Linked DNA regions of Arabidopsis thaliana. The protein of the gene in region 3 interacts with the protein of the main gene of each other region in a biochemical or structural test. Each region holds a gene or a part of one and is shown on either strand. Other genes may lie near its edges.

The links.
Region 1: the proteins of CBL1 (region 3) and AKINBETA1 form a complex in vitro, tested with the Arabidopsis thaliana proteins (one study listed by BioGRID).
Region 2: of the proteins of CBL1 (region 3) and CIPK1, one has a biochemical effect on the other in vitro, tested with the Arabidopsis thaliana proteins (one study listed by BioGRID).
Region 4: the proteins of CBL1 (region 3) and CIPK7 form a complex in vitro, tested with the Arabidopsis thaliana proteins (one study listed by BioGRID).

The regions. Positions count from the first base shown.
Region 1 is NC_003076.8:7,203,998-7,209,032, reverse strand, and holds AKINBETA1 (5'-AMP-activated protein kinase beta-2 subunit protein), read right to left. Parts: upstream 3,367-5,035; 5' UTR 3,316-3,366; coding exon 3,118-3,315; intron 1,868-3,117; exon of another isoform or gene 1,810-1,867; coding exon 1,699-1,809; intron 1,611-1,698; coding exon 1,435-1,610; intron 1,354-1,434; coding exon 1,191-1,353; intron 1,109-1,190; coding exon 794-1,108; 3' UTR 537-793; downstream 1-536. UniProt on the Arabidopsis thaliana protein: Regulatory subunit of the probable trimeric SNF1-related protein kinase (SnRK) complex, which may play a role in a signal transduction cascade regulating gene expression and carbohydrate metabolism in higher plants.
Region 2 is NC_003074.8:5,988,375-5,994,572, forward strand, and holds CIPK1 (CBL-interacting protein kinase 1), read right to left. Parts: upstream 4,628-6,198; 5' UTR 4,254-4,627; coding exon 4,062-4,253; intron 3,966-4,061; coding exon 3,903-3,965; intron 3,705-3,902; exon of another isoform or gene 2,842-3,704; coding exon of another isoform or gene 2,827-2,841; coding exon 2,755-2,826; intron 2,652-2,754; coding exon 2,544-2,651; intron 2,468-2,543; coding exon 2,387-2,467; intron 2,288-2,386; coding exon 2,108-2,287; intron 2,026-2,107; coding exon 1,810-2,025; intron 1,719-1,809; coding exon 1,614-1,718; intron 1,524-1,613; coding exon 1,407-1,523; intron 1,316-1,406; coding exon 1,253-1,315; intron 1,161-1,252; coding exon 1,086-1,160; intron 998-1,085; coding exon 935-997; 3' UTR 550-934; downstream 1-549. Other genes in the region: AT3G17500 (F-box family protein), read left to right, coding at 1-124. UniProt on the Arabidopsis thaliana protein: CIPK serine-threonine protein kinases interact with CBL proteins. Binding of a CBL protein to the regulatory NAF domain of CIPK protein lead to the activation of the kinase in a calcium-dependent manner.
Region 3 is NC_003075.7:9,814,437-9,819,888, forward strand, and holds CBL1 (calcineurin B-like protein 1), read left to right. Parts: upstream 1-1,917; 5' UTR 1,918-2,174; exon of another isoform or gene 2,175-2,310; intron 2,311-2,550; exon of another isoform or gene 2,551-2,582; 5' UTR 2,583-2,705; coding exon 2,706-2,784; intron 2,785-3,198; coding exon 3,199-3,281; exon of another isoform or gene 3,282-3,544; coding exon of another isoform or gene 3,545-3,580; coding exon 3,581-3,640; intron 3,641-3,744; coding exon 3,745-3,853; intron 3,854-3,943; coding exon 3,944-3,996; intron 3,997-4,116; coding exon 4,117-4,197; intron 4,198-4,293; coding exon 4,294-4,587; 3' UTR 4,588-4,917; downstream 4,918-5,452. Other genes in the region: AT4G17610 (tRNA/rRNA methyltransferase (SpoU) family protein), read right to left, coding at 1-52, 140-233, 319-474; AT4G17616 (Pentatricopeptide repeat (PPR) superfamily protein), read left to right, coding at 5,172-5,452. UniProt on the Arabidopsis thaliana protein: Acts as a calcium sensor involved in the signaling pathway during growth and development and in response to abiotic stresses. May function as a positive regulator of salt and drought responses and as a negative regulator of cold response.
Region 4 is NC_003074.8:8,170,792-8,174,682, reverse strand, and holds CIPK7 (CBL-interacting protein kinase 7), read right to left. Parts: upstream 2,205-3,891; 5' UTR 2,030-2,204; coding exon 740-2,029; 3' UTR 541-739; downstream 1-540. UniProt on the Arabidopsis thaliana protein: CIPK serine-threonine protein kinases interact with CBL proteins. Binding of a CBL protein to the regulatory NAF domain of CIPK protein lead to the activation of the kinase in a calcium-dependent manner.

The DNA.
Region 1 (5,035 bases), on a different chromosome or scaffold from region 3:
ATGAACAAGTGACCAAATTATCCAATTTACCGAATGATTGATTCTTCGTTCGAAGTGAAACATGGAATAGTAGTATAGTACAACGGAGCTTCAGGAATACACACCTGCGAATTGTCCCGGGAAAAGGGAGTTGAAATCGCATGCAGCCTTTCCGGCAGTAGATTTCAAAAATCTATGGCGCAGAATTGGCTTATCGAAGGAGAAGAAGTAGTTTGTCGGACAAGAAAGGAACTCTCGGCGACAATGCAGAGCGGAGGAGCTCGAGAGAGTAGTAATTGGAAACAGAGCGTCTCAATTACTCGGTCGATGCTTCTTCCGCCATACTCCATCGTGTGGCTCACTTTTTCTCACCTTATTTCTCTTTTATCTTTTTCTTATCCAAATTAAAATTTTCAATCAAATAGACGACGTGGATTTATTATGAGTACACTTTCAAACTGGTTAGCCTTTTCCAATACCAAAAAGAAAGATTATTTTCAAAAATTTGTCACTTTCGCAAACGTTTTGTCAGAAGAAGAAAAAAAACAGGATTTATGTGTTTGGTTGCTAGCAGATAAGCTTGTTATAGCCATTATTAGCGAATGTATTTTACAGTTTTTGCAGAAAATAAAACAACAATCGTTACAATGAGAGAAGCTTTGTACACAAGCACCACAAACCAGGTAAGAAAGAGGTTAATAAACTCAAATGTTGGGCACTCACTAGTCACTATGAACAAAGAACATGTTTTCACATAATTGAGAGATGAAAAAGAAAGAAAGAGAGAGAACAATGTGGCACTGAATTTTTAGGGTTACCGTGTGAGCGGTTTGTAGAGGACAACAGTTATGTACTTAGACTCGAACCTGTGGGTTAAACCCAAAGCTACTATGGATTGAGGAGTCCATCCTTGCTCTATGAACACATGGTTAAGCACCACATGTTGAGGCTTTGTGGCTATGGCTGTCTCTTCAGTAGTGCCAAGAAGTGTTAGATGAAGCTGAGGTGGCACCGCCAGTGGCTCTTTCGCGTAATCTTCTGCGGCTGGTAGGGTTTGACCGTAGCTATGATCAGGTGATGGTGGCGCCTCAAACTCCACTATGCTTTCTGGGTTTTCTGGCACAAAGTTCTGCATGCATAATGATTGCAGATACTGTTAAGCTGATTGATAGATTTAACATGAGAAAAAAAGAGGTGGGAAAGTAACTTACATGAACATCGAGAATGTTACAGACATTGCCAACTTCGTCTGCTACAAAGGGTAAATCTGGGATGTATTTGGATTCACCGTCCACAATCACCTTGTAGTGGTATATGCCAGATGGAAGGACAAAGAGAATCGAGTGGTCTTTCCCTGATTTCTGCAGCTTCTTCCTGGTGAATGTAAACATATTGTTTTTAACATATATCACGAAATCTCGAGAGAGGGTCCACGAGAAACAAAGTCAATTATACCTTGATCTCCAATTGTCCCATGATCCTTCCACCGCCACATCATTACCTCCTTGGTTCCATGTAATGATGGTAGGGATTCCTTGCTCTGGGGGATTATCAAAAACTCTCTGTGATTGGTTCCATTGGATGTTATTAGGAGGAGGGGCGTTTGCTCTCTGCAATGGAGCCACGGGAACCTGAGAATATCCACATAAACACTGAGCCGTGAGATCTTACAAACCAATGTGCAAGAAGAATTTGCGAATGTCAAAACATTATATCTACCATCCGACACGAAATGCAGCCATTAGGTACACATGTTAAGCCTAAACAATGGAAGAGGTGACGCATAGGTGAGCAAATGTTGTAAGATGTAACGTGGAATAACAATGTGGGCTGAAAAGAAAAGGAGTCGAAAATGAATATAGCAACAGTAGACTCAGAAATTTACTCGCATACAGAGTACAGACAAGACCTTATTAGCAAAAGATATTTCACTATTCCCACAAAAACCTGATAACAAGGTCAATTTTAGAAGGTTGTCCTTCACTTATCTTATGAATTATTCACATATTAAGAACAATGAGAAGAATGACGAAACATCCAAAATCTGTAATTCGTTCAAGTAAAAGCTCTGCGTGTTTAAATTCAAAAAGGGCGAAGAAAAGAACAAGCTTGCCCTCCCTCCTCTTAAAAATGAAAGCAAAAGACATTACACAAAAGACTCACAATGCGACATGCAAATCAACAGAACAGTATCAGTAACTGGTAAATGACCAGAGAGCAGCAGGAAAGTCAAAATCAGCATAAAAACCTAGAGAGACAATAATCATCCTATTTGACTGCCATACGCTTTTCCACACCAGGCATGGAGGCATAATCAGAAGACAAATAAGACCTTCTCTAAAGCAGATTCTCTAGTATGATTAACAAGATTTTAACTCACCAAAAGGAAAAGACATAGCAATAAGGTGATCTAAGCCTCTCTCTCTCTCTCCACCAAAACTAAGGAAGAGTAACTAGCTACCTTGTCATTTACCAGAGTTTTTGACTTCTCAAGAACCAAACAAAACCAAGTCAAGTCTAATTCCTTTATACAAAAGATTTCATTCACAAACGTACTTAGTCTGCAAAGTTGCCCTCTTCACAATGAAACAAAGATAAATTACACAAAGACTCACTAAGGGACATCAAGAATCATGAGCGACCAGTAAATGACTAGAGACCGGCTGGAAAATAAAGAAAAAATAGCTAGGAAACCAAAACAACATCTTAAAGAAAGGTAGAAACTTTTCCACATTATGCATTATTTCAAGATACCTGAACCAAGATAACACAAAAATAAAAGAGATTCTCTAGTACAGAATCTCTAAACCCAACTCAGAAAAAAGCTTTAAGAACAAGAATCTACATTACAAATTCTCAAGAACCAACAGGATAACACAAATCAAGTGAACAAGTAGAGTTCACTCATAAAAAAAAGGCTGGAGATTTTGTACTTGGATCCTATCTAAATGAAGAAAGTGTCTCACAATTAGTGAAACAAATGAAAAGTCAAGTGAACGAACATTCTCTTACTCAACGAAACAAATCAAAAAGATTCTCTTACTATTATCTCTTTGGGCGAATGTTTCAATCGATTCAATTCAAAACCAGAAATCAAATTCAACGATTAAACAGAGAGAGATATTCGAGAGAGGGAACCTGAGGAGCGAATAAGAAAGGAGATGGAGATCGAGCAGGACTTCCGGGAGGAGAACTGCTCATAGAGTCTGAAGAAGGACGACGGTGACGACTGCGTGCAGAAGGATCGCCGCCATTAGATCTCGCCGAGGACGAGGTAACATCTGCACCACCGCTACCGGCGGCGGCGTCTTCGTCTTTGCCGTTCGCATTTCCCATCTGAAAAAGCCCAAATCACAGAAGCGAGAGAGACAAAGAGAGGAGAGAGATAGAGGAAAAGAGAGAGAAAACCAGACGTGAAGAAAAATGGAGGGAGGACGACGAGGAGGAGATAATGAAACGCCCCTCAAGTTAGAAGTTAATTACGAATAATGCCATTGGTAGCGAAAAAGAGATTTTGCATAAAAGGGGCTCTTGAGAGAGAGATATCATTAAAATCCGTACCAAATGGATAAACGAGTGACTTGGCGTCCAAAAGTTTATAATTATCCACTTTTTTTTTGTTTATTTCTTTTAGTATATAATAAACAAATGTGAATAAAAAGTTGGTTCAATGCCTTTGAGAAGGATAATGACACAAGGGCCAGTCACCTCCTTGCCACCGATTTGTGTGCCTTAACATCTTGCTAGAGCCAGTGATCATAGTATGCGTATCGTGACGATGAAAAGGCCTTAAACTCCAATAGGTGGGGTTAGAATAGAGATGGTCAAAGAATCATCATTTTCCAAGATTTGTATTGGTTAGTCCCGTAAACTAGTTATTGGTCGAAAGATTGTTTCGAAAAGTTTGGAGGGTTTCAAAGCCAATGTAAACTTGTAAAAGGCGATGGTCACTATTCACTAAGCCATGAGTGATTGTCATGCACTTTCCTTATAGGTTGAGTCATTGTTTTTTCTTTTGCTTTCTCGCATTGTATATTGGTCACTTTCAAATTGTAAGATTTCAGCTTTTGCTTTATCATTTACTTTGAACTAAGGTTTTGATTCAACCTCATATTTTCTTCAAACGAGTGTACTATCATTGGAAAAACTTGATTTCAATCACTTCAATTTTCATCAATATATTGACCTTTTGTTTAGAAATCTTATCTAGTGGACACTAAATCTTCCACAGACACCTTCAAATGTCATTTTCAGAGACAAAAATTCATTCAAATCTTCATCAATTACTTTATTCTTCGTAGGTTCACATATTGAAGAATTAAGATAATAGCCTCACCCAAAAAAAAAATTAAGATAATAGTTTTCACCTCAGAAATCATCGTTAATATCCATCATATATATAAAAATTATTATATGTATATTAACAATTCAGATAATTTTTCACGTATTTTTAAAAGACTAAATATTATAATTAAATAACTTAAACGAATTAAACAATAAAACAATAAAGAGATTATAAGAGCGATAACTAGTTATCTTCGTTCTCTTTTACCAACTACTAATCCTTAGTTGTAACAAAAGTTTGTTAGATCACATTAAAAGTACAAAATAACTTAGAATTGCTACACAAATTCTAACACATCTATTTAAGGACATAAACTAAGGTTAATAAATAAACGCGTTATAAATAGGTCTAACGAAAATAAGTTTATAAAGTTAATTTAAATTTTTTTAAAACCCTACATAAATGATGTTTTCTCAAAACAAAAATTAAAAAGAAATAAATTGAATGTTTTTAATTACGAAGGATAAAGACCAGATTAGAGGATATTTGTAATACTAGTAATTAAACAAATCATGAATATTATTCTTATTTTTTGTCAAATTTCAAATAGGAAAAATAGGAAATTGCTATATAAAATAAACATATACATATAAAAAAAGAGGAAAGTAACTAGGGTTTTTGGGGTTATACGTTTCACTGTTTGTTTCATCCTCGCTTATTCCTCCCTTAAAGAGTGTCGCCACCAAAACACACACACACACTTGCCTCCTT
Region 2 (6,198 bases), on a different chromosome or scaffold from region 3:
TAAAGAAGTGCAGTGGAGCAAATTCTTTACGGTAGATGTAGACATTGGTGGTCGTGCTATGTTATCGTATGACAGTTTCTTCATCGACAAGGAGAAAGGAATGGCCTTGCTATGTGGGTTGTGAGACAAGTAACAGACTTGCGAGCAAGAACCTTGTATACATTGTTGGGGAGGACCGTGAATACACAGAAATCCATTTTGGCGAATGGCCTAAGTTCATTCCTTTTATGAACTCATGTGAGCCGTTTTATTTTCAATTATGTTCCAAGTTTGGTTCAGTATTAGTCGATACAGGTAAGGACGTAATTTCTTCAATCTCCTTTTTTTGTTTATTCGTTTTTGCGTTTTTGTAGTAAAATCGTTTGATTAATCTATGACTAGATATATTATTTTGATTCCTGGCTTATTTGCACTACATTCAAGTTCCAACTAAAACAAGAACAAGTTGTGAATTTGACTAACTTTAAAACTACAATTGTTACATTCCAGGACGCTAAATGTTGATAGGTCACATGACTCATGACTCTTGAGAGTATTTTATGAGACGAAAGCAACATAGCATAATACTAAAAATTTATATACGTAGATCGGTTGGTGCGGAATTGAATGATGTACAGATACAAACTAAACACATGTATATTATTTACAAAAATAATGAAGAGATTTTTTATGGGATCTTTTTTGCTAGTAGGCAGATTTGCCACACCAAATAATAATAAAAACAAATACAAAGGTAGTGAATAAAATCTCTAATTCTTGAGGAAAGATCTACGCCACGGTTTATACTTAAATGCAATTACTATTTGCACTAATCATATAAATCGAGCTCCTTTTATATATACTTAAGATAATAAATTATATGAACATGGATGGTGTGTTCCATATGATAAATTATTAGAGCTATGTATATCTCTTCAGCCGAAAACACCAACACCTAAGTTACTATCTCTTGCTCCGGCGAGGATGTGCCCACGTCTTTTAATAGTCTCTCGTACAACTGCACCAACCCCAATATCAAACATAAACATTTTTATCTTTGATATGTGTTTCTTCAGTCTAATTAAGAAATGACAATAGTGGCATACCTGTCTATATAAACATGAATCGCCATAAGATTTTCTTAGCTCAACCACGTTCAGTGACGGCTTTATCTCGAAAACCTGATATCATAAGAATTTCTTCTATTAGTCAAATAATCTCACTAAATAGTCTATTGAACAGTGAAATAATGTTTACGTAATAGTTAATATACCTCAGCTGTTACTGATAAACCAACTTGACCTTTCTGGTTTCTTTCTTCTTGTTTTACTCTTAACTGAAACAAAATACAGTTTAAAGTTTATAAACCTACAGATTTGAAATTCCAAGTTGCTAAGGAAGAGGAAGACCATGTTGTGAAGACCCACCTTGGCATGTTTCTTTTGTACACTGAATCCCATTTCTGTAACGGCTGTTTCGATTTTCTCCAGTAAATCTTTTGCTGAGCTATTTGAAGTGAATCTTATTCTCCTCTCTGATACATTCTGAGAAAGTAAAAGTATAACTCCTTTTTATTATACATTGGCTCAAGCAGAGAGCAGATCTTTGAAACAGAGTATTAGAAGATTAGTTACCTCTTGTTCAAAGAAACCGGACAGGTCAAGAAAGGAAGACATTCCGATTAACTGAAACGCATTGATGATGGTCGGTGAATCACTGCCCTTCCCTTCTTCTGATCCCTAGACCATTCAAAAGAGAGACAGAGAAATGAGGACATTGTACTTGACTCAAATGCAGTTGCGATAGAGAGTAAGGGTGGCAGATTCTTACGAGTTCTTGGATTGAGAAAGCATCATCGTCTGTGTCAACTTCTTCTTCGTCATCATCATCGGGAATTGAAGGAATGTACTCAAGTTTGAACCACTCGCTGGCTTTAATACCCACAACTGTGATCCTCGTGACTGGATTTGGATCAAGCATTCTCTTAATCATGGTTCTTGCACCCGGGGATAACCATCTTGGTATTGGTGGGTCTCCTTTACATATCTAGAAATCAAATCAATTATCAAGCTTATTTCTTCAAAATGTGTATTGAATTGGCATATATATAAGAAAAAATGAGGTTTACCTTCTGGTAAAGAACTGCAAGGTTTCTGTCGTCGAAAGGAAGACATCCGGTTAGAATCACATACAAGATTACACCACAGGACCATATGTCTGATGCTGCACCATCGTAGCCTCTGTTAGCTAAAACCTCAGGCGCAACGTAATTAGGACTTCCACAGGTTGTATGCAACAATCCGTCATCCTAAAATGCCAAAGAGAAAATTAGTTGTAACTCGAACGGATTCAACAATTATAATTCTGCTGTGATATGCTATGGTTTTAAGATGATATTTTCAAGTACCCTAAAATGCTGAGGCAGAGCACTGAGGCCAAAATCAGTGATCTTTATATGTCCCTTTGCATCAAGAAGAACATTCTCTAGCTGCAATATAGAAAAACATCAGTACACTATTCCATAAGGTTTCCATGGTTTGAAACACAGTGAGAGAATCACAGACCTTGAGATCCCTGTGGAAAACACCTTTGCTATGACAGTAGCTGATTCCATCGATAAGCTGCTGAAACATTTTTCTTCCATCAGTTTCTGTTAATTTTCCGTTGGAAACCTGAGAGTTATCATCAAAGTGTGAGTTTAGCAAAAATGACACTCGTCAAAAAAAGAAAAAAAATCTTTTTTGCTTTGAGCATAGAGGCTAGTAAGAGTCTTACAATTCTGTCGAACAATTCTCCTCCGGTAACAAGTTCCATTACCATATTAATTTTCGTTTTGCTAGCCAAGACCTGCATGATTACCATAAGGAAGAGGCCATTAGTTTCAAGGTAAAGGAACAGTGAGTTCTGAGGTAAGATGTTTCATGTTTGAGAATCCAAAAGATTAGTCACAAGAAAGAAAAAGAAACATTTAGAATTCGAATTGCATTCATATCCACAGATTACATAAAAAACACTTAGTTGTCCAAGACACGACAAAGTTAGTCACGAGCTTAAAAAGTGGACCACGTGTATCAAATAAGTGAAGATCCACAATGGTTGCTTAACCAAAAGTCACGATTAATCTCGTGTTAAATGGCAAAGAGGAAGAAGCAATCGAAATAATTAGAAGTCAACAATAAAACGCAAAGATACAGCAAGCAATGACCCATACAATAATCATCTGAAATAATACTATATGAATAAAATAAAATAAAAAGTAAAACTAAGCATAAGATCAAAGAGGGTCCACATGATAAAAAGCTTAAAAGGGTACTAAGATTAAGCAATTATATGATGATCAAGCGACATATCCTGCATTTTTCACGATAATTTTTTTTAGGACCCCACCTTTGAATTGAACAGGTCAGATTTGTGTTACCGGCCAAGCCACCATATCAAATAATGGAATAATTAACTTAATAATTATGTAAAATGATGCGGCTAATTGGCAACGTGAAAAACAAGCTAAATGAAACATGTTTGGGTACGAAACCAAATGACTTGTAAGAATATTCCTAAACAGTAAAAAAAAAGATCCAAAAAGCAAACAACAATTATCCAAGATTTGAGGTGTTTTTAATCCTCGTCAGCTCCATTTTGATAGATAAAGAAACAACAATGAAGAAATTAACTAAAAATAGTTTACTAAACCTAATCTAACAATCTAAAATGACGAATCAAAATTTGAATAACCATCCATAAGCAGGCAATAATTCGATCACTTTCTGTCATACTCAGGTATATACTAAATAAACAGAAACAAGCAAACAGAAGAATAATCAAAAATTGTTATACTAATTAAGCAATAAACCTTTTTACTTCCTAATCACAGAATCATTTCGATAATCCAAAGATGATTATACACAAAAATTTAAGATACGGACCTCATGTAATCTAACAATGTGGGGATGTTTCAACATTTTCAGAGTCCGGATCTCTCTTTTTATCTGCACAGATTCATAAGAATTGGATCTGTCAAATTACAAATTTAGTAAAAGAAGAGAAAAGAAAAAAATTAGAAATGATGATAGAGAGATGGGAACCTGTAAGGAGAAGTTGAGATCGGCGATACGAGACTTGTCGATGATTTTAACGGCGAAGGAATGACCGGAGACGGTATCTTTAGCGAATTTAACTTTACCGAAATTACCCTCGCCGAGCGTCCTCCCTAGCTCGTATTTCCCCAGACGCATTCCCTTCTCCGCCTTCTTCTCCTCCTCTTGCCTTCTCACCATCCAATCAATCTCCTATTTCAATTTATTTCCCAACAAATTAACAGACAACCAAATCGATTTCTCGCTTGAATCTTCCGATTAGATTACTATTAATTCCGTTATTGAAAGAGGGGAAGTAGATTATTGTAGCTGTGCAGGTATGTGTGTGAGGGAAGGAGATATATATATATATATATATATAGGTGTAGGTAAAGAGACGAGGAAGATTGGGAAGAAGAAGAAGAAGAGAAGAAAGTGCCGGTTGAAATTGAAGAGAGGACGCTACTTCTCTTTGTTTCCTCTTCTCTTCTTATTATATTCACTTCTTTTTATATATATATTCCTCGTTAACTATTTTTTTTTGGTTTTTGTTAGCCAGATTTTTATTGGATAACTAGAAACATATTAATCTTCACAAAAGAAAAAGATTAATCTAACAAACCATATAAGATTTGATATTATCGAAATAAGATTTTTTTAGTAGGGTACTTATCGAGATTTATTATTATTGGTCAAATAAAACTCCTATCAAATGAAATTATGTCTATGTTCATTATAAGGAGAAATTTAAAAAGGATCTTATTTCTGTCAACAATCAAAATATGGAAAATATACGCAAAGAGTATATTGATTTATCAGAATAATTCTATATATGATGTATATTGCGAATATGTGTGTATTTTATGTGTGTACTTGTATGCATCAATAGGCCCACGTCATTTGTTGCATTAGTTTTATGTTGAAATTAAATAATAATAGATGAAAAAATATATTCATAAGAACTTTTGGTTTAAAGTCAGAAAGAAACGCTACAAAAAGATTGGTGCTTGCAGTTTTATAGTTCTTGTTACTGGAGCAGTTTTGATTTGGCTTTCGGATTTTAGTTCTTAAATGTAGAAACAAACTTGTATACACATAAAAGTTCACAAGGAATCACATACTTTCCAAGTTTTCATGTTGGAGTTACTTAAAAGTTGAAGTCCAACTATGATTTCTTAAAGTTACAGTTTAGTTTTGTACCTTTGTTATAAAAGAGGAGATCAAAAGAGACCTAAACTTAAGATCAAGTTATATATACACACTACAACAAATTAAACAACGCGTTCATAACCCATTCGTTTCTATGGAAATTTTGAACTTATGACTTGGTTTCATAGACAGTAGGTCTTCATTGTCGTGGCATTTTCAGTTTAAGAGATAATTTGGTAATAAACCATTTATATACGTCGATATCGTGCATGAATTGATAATTAGATTTAAAACACTTTTTTACGATAGTGCTTTCGGTTTGGGGGGAAATAAACATGGTGCTTTCAGTTTTATATTGTTTCTGTCTTTGTAGACTAATAATATTAGTTGTAGACTTTTACAAATTTTTAATTCGCAATATAGGCAAGCGTTTAGAAACACAATCGTTAATGATACACTTAAAGTTAATATTTTTTAAAAAAAACTATGGTAATTTATACTATATTTCATGTCTCGTCCTTTGTCGGCTCACAATTAATTAAATCACATGGAACCATTCAATTTATATTTGTTTTTCTTATGCGGTTTGTGTATTTAATTAAAATAAATAAATTGTTTTTGAGAATCCAAAAGTTTCAATAAACCAGGGCCTGGGCACCAGGCTAATCTCTTGAATTTGGAAAACTCCATATTATATCTTTTTATTGGATACATAGATTATTGAAGAATGTAGTGGTTCTTAGCTCTCGTCAGTCGTCCCAACATATTTTTGGTAATGAAAAGGTCATATGTCACATGTTTCTCTACACATCTTTTTCCCAAGGTTTTTATTAAAATTTGTAGTTAGTAAATGATGTGGCTGAAATGAATAGATACTATATAGAAAAGGAGAAAAAACCAATAATTAAAATTATTCGAGTCTCTCAAACGTGTCAAAATGGCCGGTGATAGTATTGCTGCCGGCAGTGAGTAACATATTGATTGATCTATGTTATCA
Region 3 (5,452 bases):
ACTCTCCACACAAATAGCTGCAACGCATTATGATTATCCGCAGCAACAAAGCCTGCTTCAACCTCATAACCATCAATTAAACAATTCTGTAATCACTAACACATCATACATATCTAAAAATTCAAAATTGGTAACTCACCAAAATTCTTTAGTAGATGACAAAGCCCAGCCACCAATGAAGCTATGTGGTTGCAATCATCAGAATCAAATCTCTTGTCCCCATTTACCGTATCCTATTCAAAAACATGTTCAAATCTTAAATTGAACAATCCGAAGCAAATTGCCGAAGTGTGAAACAATAAACCAATCAATCAATACCTCTAAACGAAAAGGGAATTGCTCAATGAGAGATTCGAAAAGAGTTGAAGGAGATACGCCTGTGGAGCTTAAAACACAGTCAAGGAAAGCAGGAATAGCTGCTGGTGGAACTTGCTTGAAGCTCAGTGACAATGAAGTAATCACTGACGAACCCATTTCAATTGAAGCTTCGAACTTCAAAAAAATTGGCTGCAAGCAGCCAGAATAGATGAAGAAACGTAAACGAATTTGAAATTAGTACAGAGGGAAGTGTTACGAGGAATCTCTCTGTTAAACCCTTTCAAATAATTTTCATGGCTTAGGACAGATAAACCCTAGTCGTATAATTAGGGGGGAAATTAGAATTATTGATAAGGGCTTTCTTGGGCTTAACTTAGTATGATTGGGCCGTATGGGATAGACTTCAGGAGAAGAAAAAAAAAAAAAAACCGGAAATTGTTCGGGGGATTGAACCCGACGTGAATCGAACACGCAACCTTCTGATCTGGAGTCAGACGCGCTACCATTGCGCCACGGATCCGGATGTTATTATGTTGCATTTATAAAATTATAATACCGTAGTATACGCAAATTAAACAAAACATTTTGAGGACGCGTTCCCAACACGGCCGGTGACCAAAGAGTCAATTTAAGCCCGCTTTAAAGATATCAAAATGATATAAAACTCTAATTGATCGAGTTAACGGCAGGAGAATCAAAGCTACTAATCATAATCAAGAAATTTAATATATATACGCTATTATTATTGTTTTGAACGATAAACACGTGGTCTGGTCGTGATTAAGGTCCTAATTATGTCAACGTTTGCCTGCCACATTGCAGACCGAAGTACTAATTCCACACCGACTGGTCTACGACATATTTAATTCATAAACACAATACTTTATAATTAAATTGATTCTTGTAGAGATTTGGCTTCATGATCTGATTTATTTAGTTAATAACCATTTCAACAGATAATTACAGTTTAGAGCCTTTTTCCAGTTGTCAAGAGTGTTATGGTTTTAAAATGGCACCCTGTAAATATCACATATGTTAGTGGATTTATTTTACCAAAGAAACAAAAAATGTTAATGGATTAAAAAACTTGTGTTTTTTTAGATAGCAAAACCAAAAGAAGATATGGTGACCACTAACACGATCAGTCGAAGACAAATGTTTCCCAGACTTTATTATTGGCGTTTCCATTTTGCATATTAGTCAAATTATGGAGCATCGCAAATATCTAATAAACTAACTATATAAAAAGTTATTATAATACAGGGTTACCAATTCCGTATATTCAGAATATTCCTAAGAGGTGCCATTTTGACTAATAAAATGGACGGATCTTTGATTTATTCCGGAAGTGAATGGATATTAGAAGAAACAAAAGAAATTTTGAATTTCTTGTCCAAAAAATATTTTTCCCATTCTTAGTATACAGAAACATAGAAAATATCGTGTATGCTTACGTAACAATCAAGTTGTAAAAAGAAAAAAAGACAGAAGATAAATAGTACAGAATGAACATAACAGAAATCAATCTATGGAATTAGGTACAATTAGGTTCGGTCTAACTGAAATTACATGACGACAGAAAAAACTGAACTAAACGCCGATTCTATTAACTTCCAAAACTGACTCGTCTCACACGCGCTTACTATGATTCACACGTGCGAATATGCCATCATATAAGCGCTACTAAAATTCATTCCAAAGGAAAAAGAAAAATAAATAATCGATCTCAACCGTCCGATCATCCATCTTGCCATCACCGTTCACCAATCTTCTTCGTCTCCTCTCTCTTTCTCTCTTTTTGCTGTTTCTAGCTCCTCTCTCTCTGGATCTCGCCGGCGAACCGTTTCTCTTGGGTGGTGAGTGTTGCTTCTTATTTTTAAGAATCTTTTTCTTTTATTTCCATCGAATTTCGTTTTTTTGAGTTTGATTTTTGGCCTGTGGAATTCTCGATGTTTCTACATTGATCGTCTGGTTTCGAATCGTGTTTTACTGGTACAATTTTGATTCCATCTCCGTATCTTATGGATTCGAAGAACTTTGTGTTTTTTTTTTCTTTCTTCATTGATGCTACTTTGCTAGGGTTTACACTTTTTTCTTCCATGGTAAAAAAATTTGAGCAAAGTTGTTGAGATTCTTCTAGACTGTTTTCAATTTTACGTTTCACAAAGATTTTTTTAGATGATTTGTTTCTAATGAAATGGCATTGTTTGTGTTCTGTTTCCATATGTGTAGATTTTGAAAATATGTTTGTGATGATTGTGCAGTAAACAGTAGCAATCAAGCTATAGAATCTCAGATATCGCTGAATTAGCTGTTGGATTTTATCCGCCTTTTCTTCGTTATCCGGGGCTCGGGTATAAGGTTTCATCGTCTTATTTCATCTGTAAATGGGCTGCTTCCACTCAAAGGCAGCAAAAGAATTTCGAGGACACGAAGACCCTGTTAAGCTTGCCTCTGAGACAGCTTGTAAGTTTACTCGCGCTATAAGTTTAAACCTCCTCTAGATTCATTTCTCTCAAAGCTGCATGTTCATTTGTTTTCTGATATGAGATGAGAATCATCAGTTAGATTCAAATCATTCTTTCTCTGTTCACTGATTTAGTTTATCTCCGGTTTGGATTTTTTTAGTTTTGTGTTTTGGAGTCTTTGTCTGCCTAACAATTTCTAGTAATGATCCTTCAAAGTTGGTTAACACTCTATCTCATGTTTCTTGTTACCAATACCATCACCTTAATCTTGTTCCTTAACTTGTCAAGACGAGTTCTCTCTCCATGCAAATTCTAAATGTGAATTATTAGTCTCTTTGTTTGTTTGTTTGTTTGTTCCTGGTAATTCTTTGTTTTGATCTCGTAGTGTTGCTTGTTTTTTTCTCTTTTCCAGTTAGTGTGAGTGAGGTTGAAGCATTATTTGAGCTATTCAAGAGCATAAGCAGTTCGGTTGTTGATGATGGTCTGATTAACAAGGTACAAAGTTTGTTTCTTTTGACCCAATTTGGATCTTTTCATGACCCCATCGTTGTATCTTTTTGTTCTTTACGCTATTCATCTACAGTATTTTTCAACTTAGTTGACTTTATTTGAGCAATAATTATTCTTCCATGACGATATGTCTGTTCCATATTGCATCGATTCAATGTATCGTAGCCCTTAATGTTTGACTTGAACTTAACTTATTTTATTGATTGCTTTGATTTTGAATTTTGAAGCCTTCATGGCCCACCTTGTTTATGTTGTTTTTTAATCCTGGCTTCACATGTATGCAGGAGGAGTTTCAACTTGCTTTGTTCAAAAGCCGGAAGAGGGAGAATATATTTGCTAATAGGGTAAAATCTTAATTCTTCAGGCTTTTACAAGATTCATCTTCTGGAAGAGTGATCTAAACCAAGATAATATGTCCATTATCCTAAACAATATTGCTTTTCCGCAGATATTTGATATGTTTGATGTTAAACGAAAAGGAGTCATCGATTTCGGGGACTTTGTAAGATCACTCAATGTTTTCCACCCCAATGCTTCTCTAGAAGACAAAATAGATTGTAAGTTGACATAAGATAGTTTCATATATAGGTGTTTATTGAAGCTTTTGTGAAGAGATTTATTGATTCTGGTCTGCCATTTTTTCTCAGTTACGTTTAGGCTTTACGACATGGACTGCACGGGTTACATTGAACGACAAGAGGTAATACTAACTTGCAAGCTTTGAATACTAGTCATGATAGATCTTTGCCATGTTCTTGAGTATTCATCTTTTACTTAATAACTTTGCAAGAAATCGTTAATGAATGTGATATATTTGCAGGTCAAGCAAATGTTGATCGCGCTTCTCTGCGAATCTGAAATGAAACTGGCTGATGAAACCATAGAGATAATACTCGATAAGGTTTGTTGTTGTCTAAGGCTTTATTTTTCTAGATGGTATACATTTAGAGATGATGTTCTTAATGTGGTTTCCTTCGTCCTTCTCATATATGAACAGACATTTGAAGATGCAGACGTGAATCAAGATGGAAAAATTGATAAATTAGAGTGGAGTGATTTCGTAAACAAAAATCCATCATTGCTTAAGATCATGACTCTTCCATATCTCAGGTATATTACAAATTGCCTTTTATGGAAACCAAAGAAAACTGAAAAATGCCAAATGAAATGTCATATTAACTTGTACATAAACAATGCAGGGATATTACGACAACGTTTCCGAGTTTTGTCTTCCATTCGGAGGTCGATGAGATTGCCACATGAAGAAACAAACTGGTTTAAGACCGAGTAGATTGCCACGAGTTGGAAGAACAAGTCTGAGCTAATCGGTGTAATCAACATCTGTTTGTAAACAGTAGTAGAGCATATTCTCTTGAAATTGTTTGGGTTACTTTTTTCTTCTCACAACAGTTTAAAATTTTGGGTTTTTAGCTTACAAAAAAAAAAAAAGAAGAAGCGCGTAATCACCAATCCTTCACTTCATATAGTTAGGAAATGTTAATGAGTTTGTACATATTACATCATACGTTTGTTGTAATTGTTTTTTTTCAAGTAAAAAAGTAAAGATTTGTTACGTTTACTCGGGGTTCTAATTGTTCCAATGGAATCTTATACTGCAAAAACGTGAATTTGAGATTTTGTTGGGTCCTTAACCGCAAAAGCGAAAGTACGAATGTCCTAGGACCCGACCCGATGAAATTTACAGTCTTGCCACTCTTCTCTTGTTACAGTGTTCCTCTCTTCTCTCTCGATTTCGAAGTTTCCAGCAATTTAGGGTTCTTTCTCGATTGGAGAATTCGTATGTTGTTATCATGTTCTCGTCATTGTTGTGCTTTCTTTGTTAAATTCTAGATTTGGAATCGAAATTCTAGACTAATGTTTAGGAAACGGAACTTAGTTCTAGAATCATTTCGTCGATTCGATAGCGGTAACGTAGAAACCCTAATTTCATGGGTCTTGTGTAGTCGCACCTCAAAGCCGTCTCTGTTCTGTACTAGTGTTAAACCTGCTAGATTAAACTGGGAAGTTTCTTCTCAAGTAATTCTCAAGAAGAAGCTAGAAACAGCTCTTAAAGATCACCGTGTAGATGATGCTTGGGACGTGTTTAAAGATTTCAAACGCCTCTATGGATTTCCAGAGAGTGTAATCATGAACAG
Region 4 (3,891 bases), on a different chromosome or scaffold from region 3:
GTTGTAGTGATATCACCTCTCCCAATATAGCATCACATGTGACACCATCCCAAGAACAACAGTCAACGTTCTTGTTCCATGTAGTTGTTGGTACATGTAACTCCTTTTGTACCTCTAAAAGAGCATCTCTTTGGTCGCTGCGGCACAGTAACCGTGTGGGACAAGCAATGGTGTTTGGTAATGGAAGAATGCTCAAGAAGAAATAGATGGTAAGAAAGCAATAAGATAGGCTTCGAATCATCGTCTCTCAATTTCGTTTTTTTTGGGAAAGGAAGATAATTTGTTTGTGGTAAGTGATGAGCATAAACTCACTTGTTTTTATAAAAGTGTGAGGAGCTTGACTTTTGACTTGGCAAGTCTTCCTATGAATAATTTGTTTTTGTTGGACCTTATCTTACGTCCCTTTTCTTTTACTGAAGAATTTTTTTTAGCACCCACCAATTCGACGAAATGTCTAAGATACATTATCCCCACCTATTCTTGAGGCTTTGAATTTTATATTGAGGATGTTGAAGATGCGTTGAGTTGAGCCCATGGGCTTAGCGACAAGGAGCGAATAAGAGAATCATTATTGAGTACCATGTAGTGATCAAAGCTTATGGAATCGGTAGCAGAGAGGGTAATGTATCTGCTGGTAAAAAGACAATGAAGCGGGAGATTTTGATTTCTTCATGGATTATACAAAACTGAACAGAAACAAAACAAAAAAGAGACTAAAATCCACAAAGTCACAATCTATTTACATGATGTCATTGTGCCATGAAAGAACTATATCTTCAAGCTCAGTAATCAAATCAGACCACCGTGAATCATCTTCTTCACCTTCAACAACTTTCACTTCAACCACCACAACATCCACCGTTAACTCCACTGCTTCCACCACAATCACAGTTCTTCCTCTCCCTAATCCAACAACCTTCACTTCTCCTTCCTTCTTCATCATCTTCTTCTTCACTACATAACCTAACTTCTCCCCAATCATCTTCGCCTTCTCCTCCACTTCAACACCCGAAACCTTCGCCGTGAATCTCCTCTCCTTCTTCTTCTTAGCCTCAAACAATCCAGAAAGATCTAATCCCGACGATAACGAGATCAAATCAAAAGCAGTAATCGAATTAACACTCGATTTCATCTCTACTTCCGAATCAAAGACGTTACGATGAAACTCAGAAGTCTCTAGAGACTTCTTGAACCAATTCGTTTTCATCACTGTTTCAATACTCATCCTCGTTACTGGATTCGGATCTAACATCTGATAGATTATCGATTTAGCTTGTTTCGAAATCCAGCTCGGAAACCGATAATCTCTCCGATGAATCTTCCGATACATCGCAGCGATATTCGAATCATCAAATGGAACATCGCCAACCAATAAAACAAACAAAATCACACCACAAGACCACGCATCAGCTTTTGCTCCGTCGTATCCCCTCCGTGAAATAACCTCCGGAGCTGTATAAGCCGGAGTACCACACGCCGTGTGAAGCAATCCGTTTTGTAGATGCTCCGGTAAAGCTGATAAACCAAAGTCAGAGACCTTGAGGTTACCTTGCTCATCTAAGAGTAGATTCTGAGGTTTCACATCACGGTGAGCGACACCGTCTTGGTGAGAGAAACGAAGAGCGGAGGCGAGTTGTTGAAAGTAACGACGCGCCGTTGATTCAGGAAGACGTCCACGACGGAGGACTTTTGAGAAAAGTTCACCACCGGAAGCGAGTTCCATTACGAGATAGATCTTAGATTTGGTTGCCATAACTTCATGGATCTTGAGTATGTTTGGATGATGACGAAGACGACGCATCGCATCGATCTCTCTGATTATTCTTGGTTCCATACCGGATTCGATTGTTTTCTTCTTCTCGATGATTTTAACGGCGACGAGCTCGTCGGATTCGATTGATCGAGCTAAATGGACTTTCGCGAAGCTTCCGCTACCGAGACGACGACCGAGTTCGTATTTCCCAAGGAGGATCTTCGCCGGAGTTGTTGCCGGAGATGATTGGTTTTGCGGCTGGGGAAGTGATTCCATGGCGGCGGCGGAAGGAGAAAATGGTGCCTGAGTTTTCTGAAGAGAGGTTTCAGGGACGAGTTGTTTGGTGAGTGTCTCTTTGCTTTTATAGGAAAAAGAGATTTATTGCTTTTTTATTATTCCGAAACTACCCTTGAATAAATTAGTTCTGCTGTCACTGAGAAGTAGAATCTTTTTACTTGGTATACACATTATTTTGTAATTAATTCGTTGAGAAAATTTAGGAGAAAATATTAAGTGTATTTTTTCTGTCAATTAGTAATAGTGTTTTTTTTCTCAATAATATCACATATCCATAAATAGTCAAAATAAATAAAATAAAATGGTCTTACAATGTAAAGTTTATGGGTTGACAGATAATTATCATTTATTTATTTAAATTGTTTGAAATTGGAGTGTTTATTCACCTAAAATAACTGTAGATGTTCTGTAAAAGCTTGTGTTTAAGAGTTATATATATGACTGTCAAAAAAACACAAAGAGTTATGTATATAAATTTAATAAAATCATTTCAGTTTCACTTTGAAATTTATTGTAAAATCTTCAAAAAATAATGTATATATTGTACATTTTAGAATATGACATTAATTTTAAAATCTCCTAATAAAATACATTTACTTTCAATAAATATTGTTGGAATCATTTTTTTTAATAGCTTGTAAAAATGTGTCTCAACAGACAAACATTACCCTCATATATATTTCTAGTCTCCGCTACAACACCTTCATACTTAAGAGACCATTATAAGAATGAAACTATGAATCAAAGGTTTTATGATTATGGGTCTATGTAACAAAATGTAGTTAAATCTTTAATGCTTTACAAAATTCTATAATATCTCTTTTGAAATCATTGGATTGGGTTATATGTAAATAACATTTTTCATGAATAATTCTATTGCGATTAATTTAAAGTTGTTAACTAAAAAAAGATTTGATTGAGAAAAATATATTTTATATAATCCAATGCTCCAAAAGTTCTGATATTTTGGATTTTAAGTTTTGGATCTCAATAACAACAATATCACAACCTTGATTTCATAAACTTATATGAATCTTATTGTGTATGTGTTGGTTATTAATTTATAACACATTACATTTCTTAAATAATTCTATTATCTTTTTTATATATGATGTAGGCTACATCATGTAGCTAAAAGGTGTTTTTTTTTTTTTTTTTCCATCCGCTAAAAGGTCTATAAAATAGCCTTTTGCTATGATTACAATCTCAACTCTTTTATTTTTCTTGTTTAAAGCATTACACTTAACTTTATACTTTATACACAACGATATATTCCTAAGAAAATATTTTATGGTCGATATCACAGTGTGTCTATTCCAATCTCAAGTGCTGAAAAACAAATCATGAAAAAGTTGGAGTAATCAATATTCAAAATAGAGAATATAAAATAAATCTTGGTGTTCATCATTATTATTGTTGTATCTATTCGACACTTGGTGTTGAAATTAAATATTGTATTCCTTAAATAATTTGTATTCCTACTTTCAACGGTCCATACGTGTCCATCTTTTTCTAGCTAGATTCTCTCATCAATTTTTTCCACCTGAAATGTAATTAAACCATCCTTAAATATGGTTTAACTTAACTAGCAAATTAAATCACACAAAACCGTATTATTGAACTAAGGGTAAATAAGTCATTTACTCAAGTCCCAAACTGATCAGTGATTACTGGTGGCTTTTGAGCCAAACTAACAAACCGTCAAGATTGTTTGGCAGTTGTCGACTGACATATGGACGGCTCTCATTTGGCCAAGTCAGCAAAGAATTGGGCCCATTGGTTTTGATTTTGGTGTTAAAAACAAAAGTTCAATTTCTAGAATTATTTTATTCTCCTCAGAT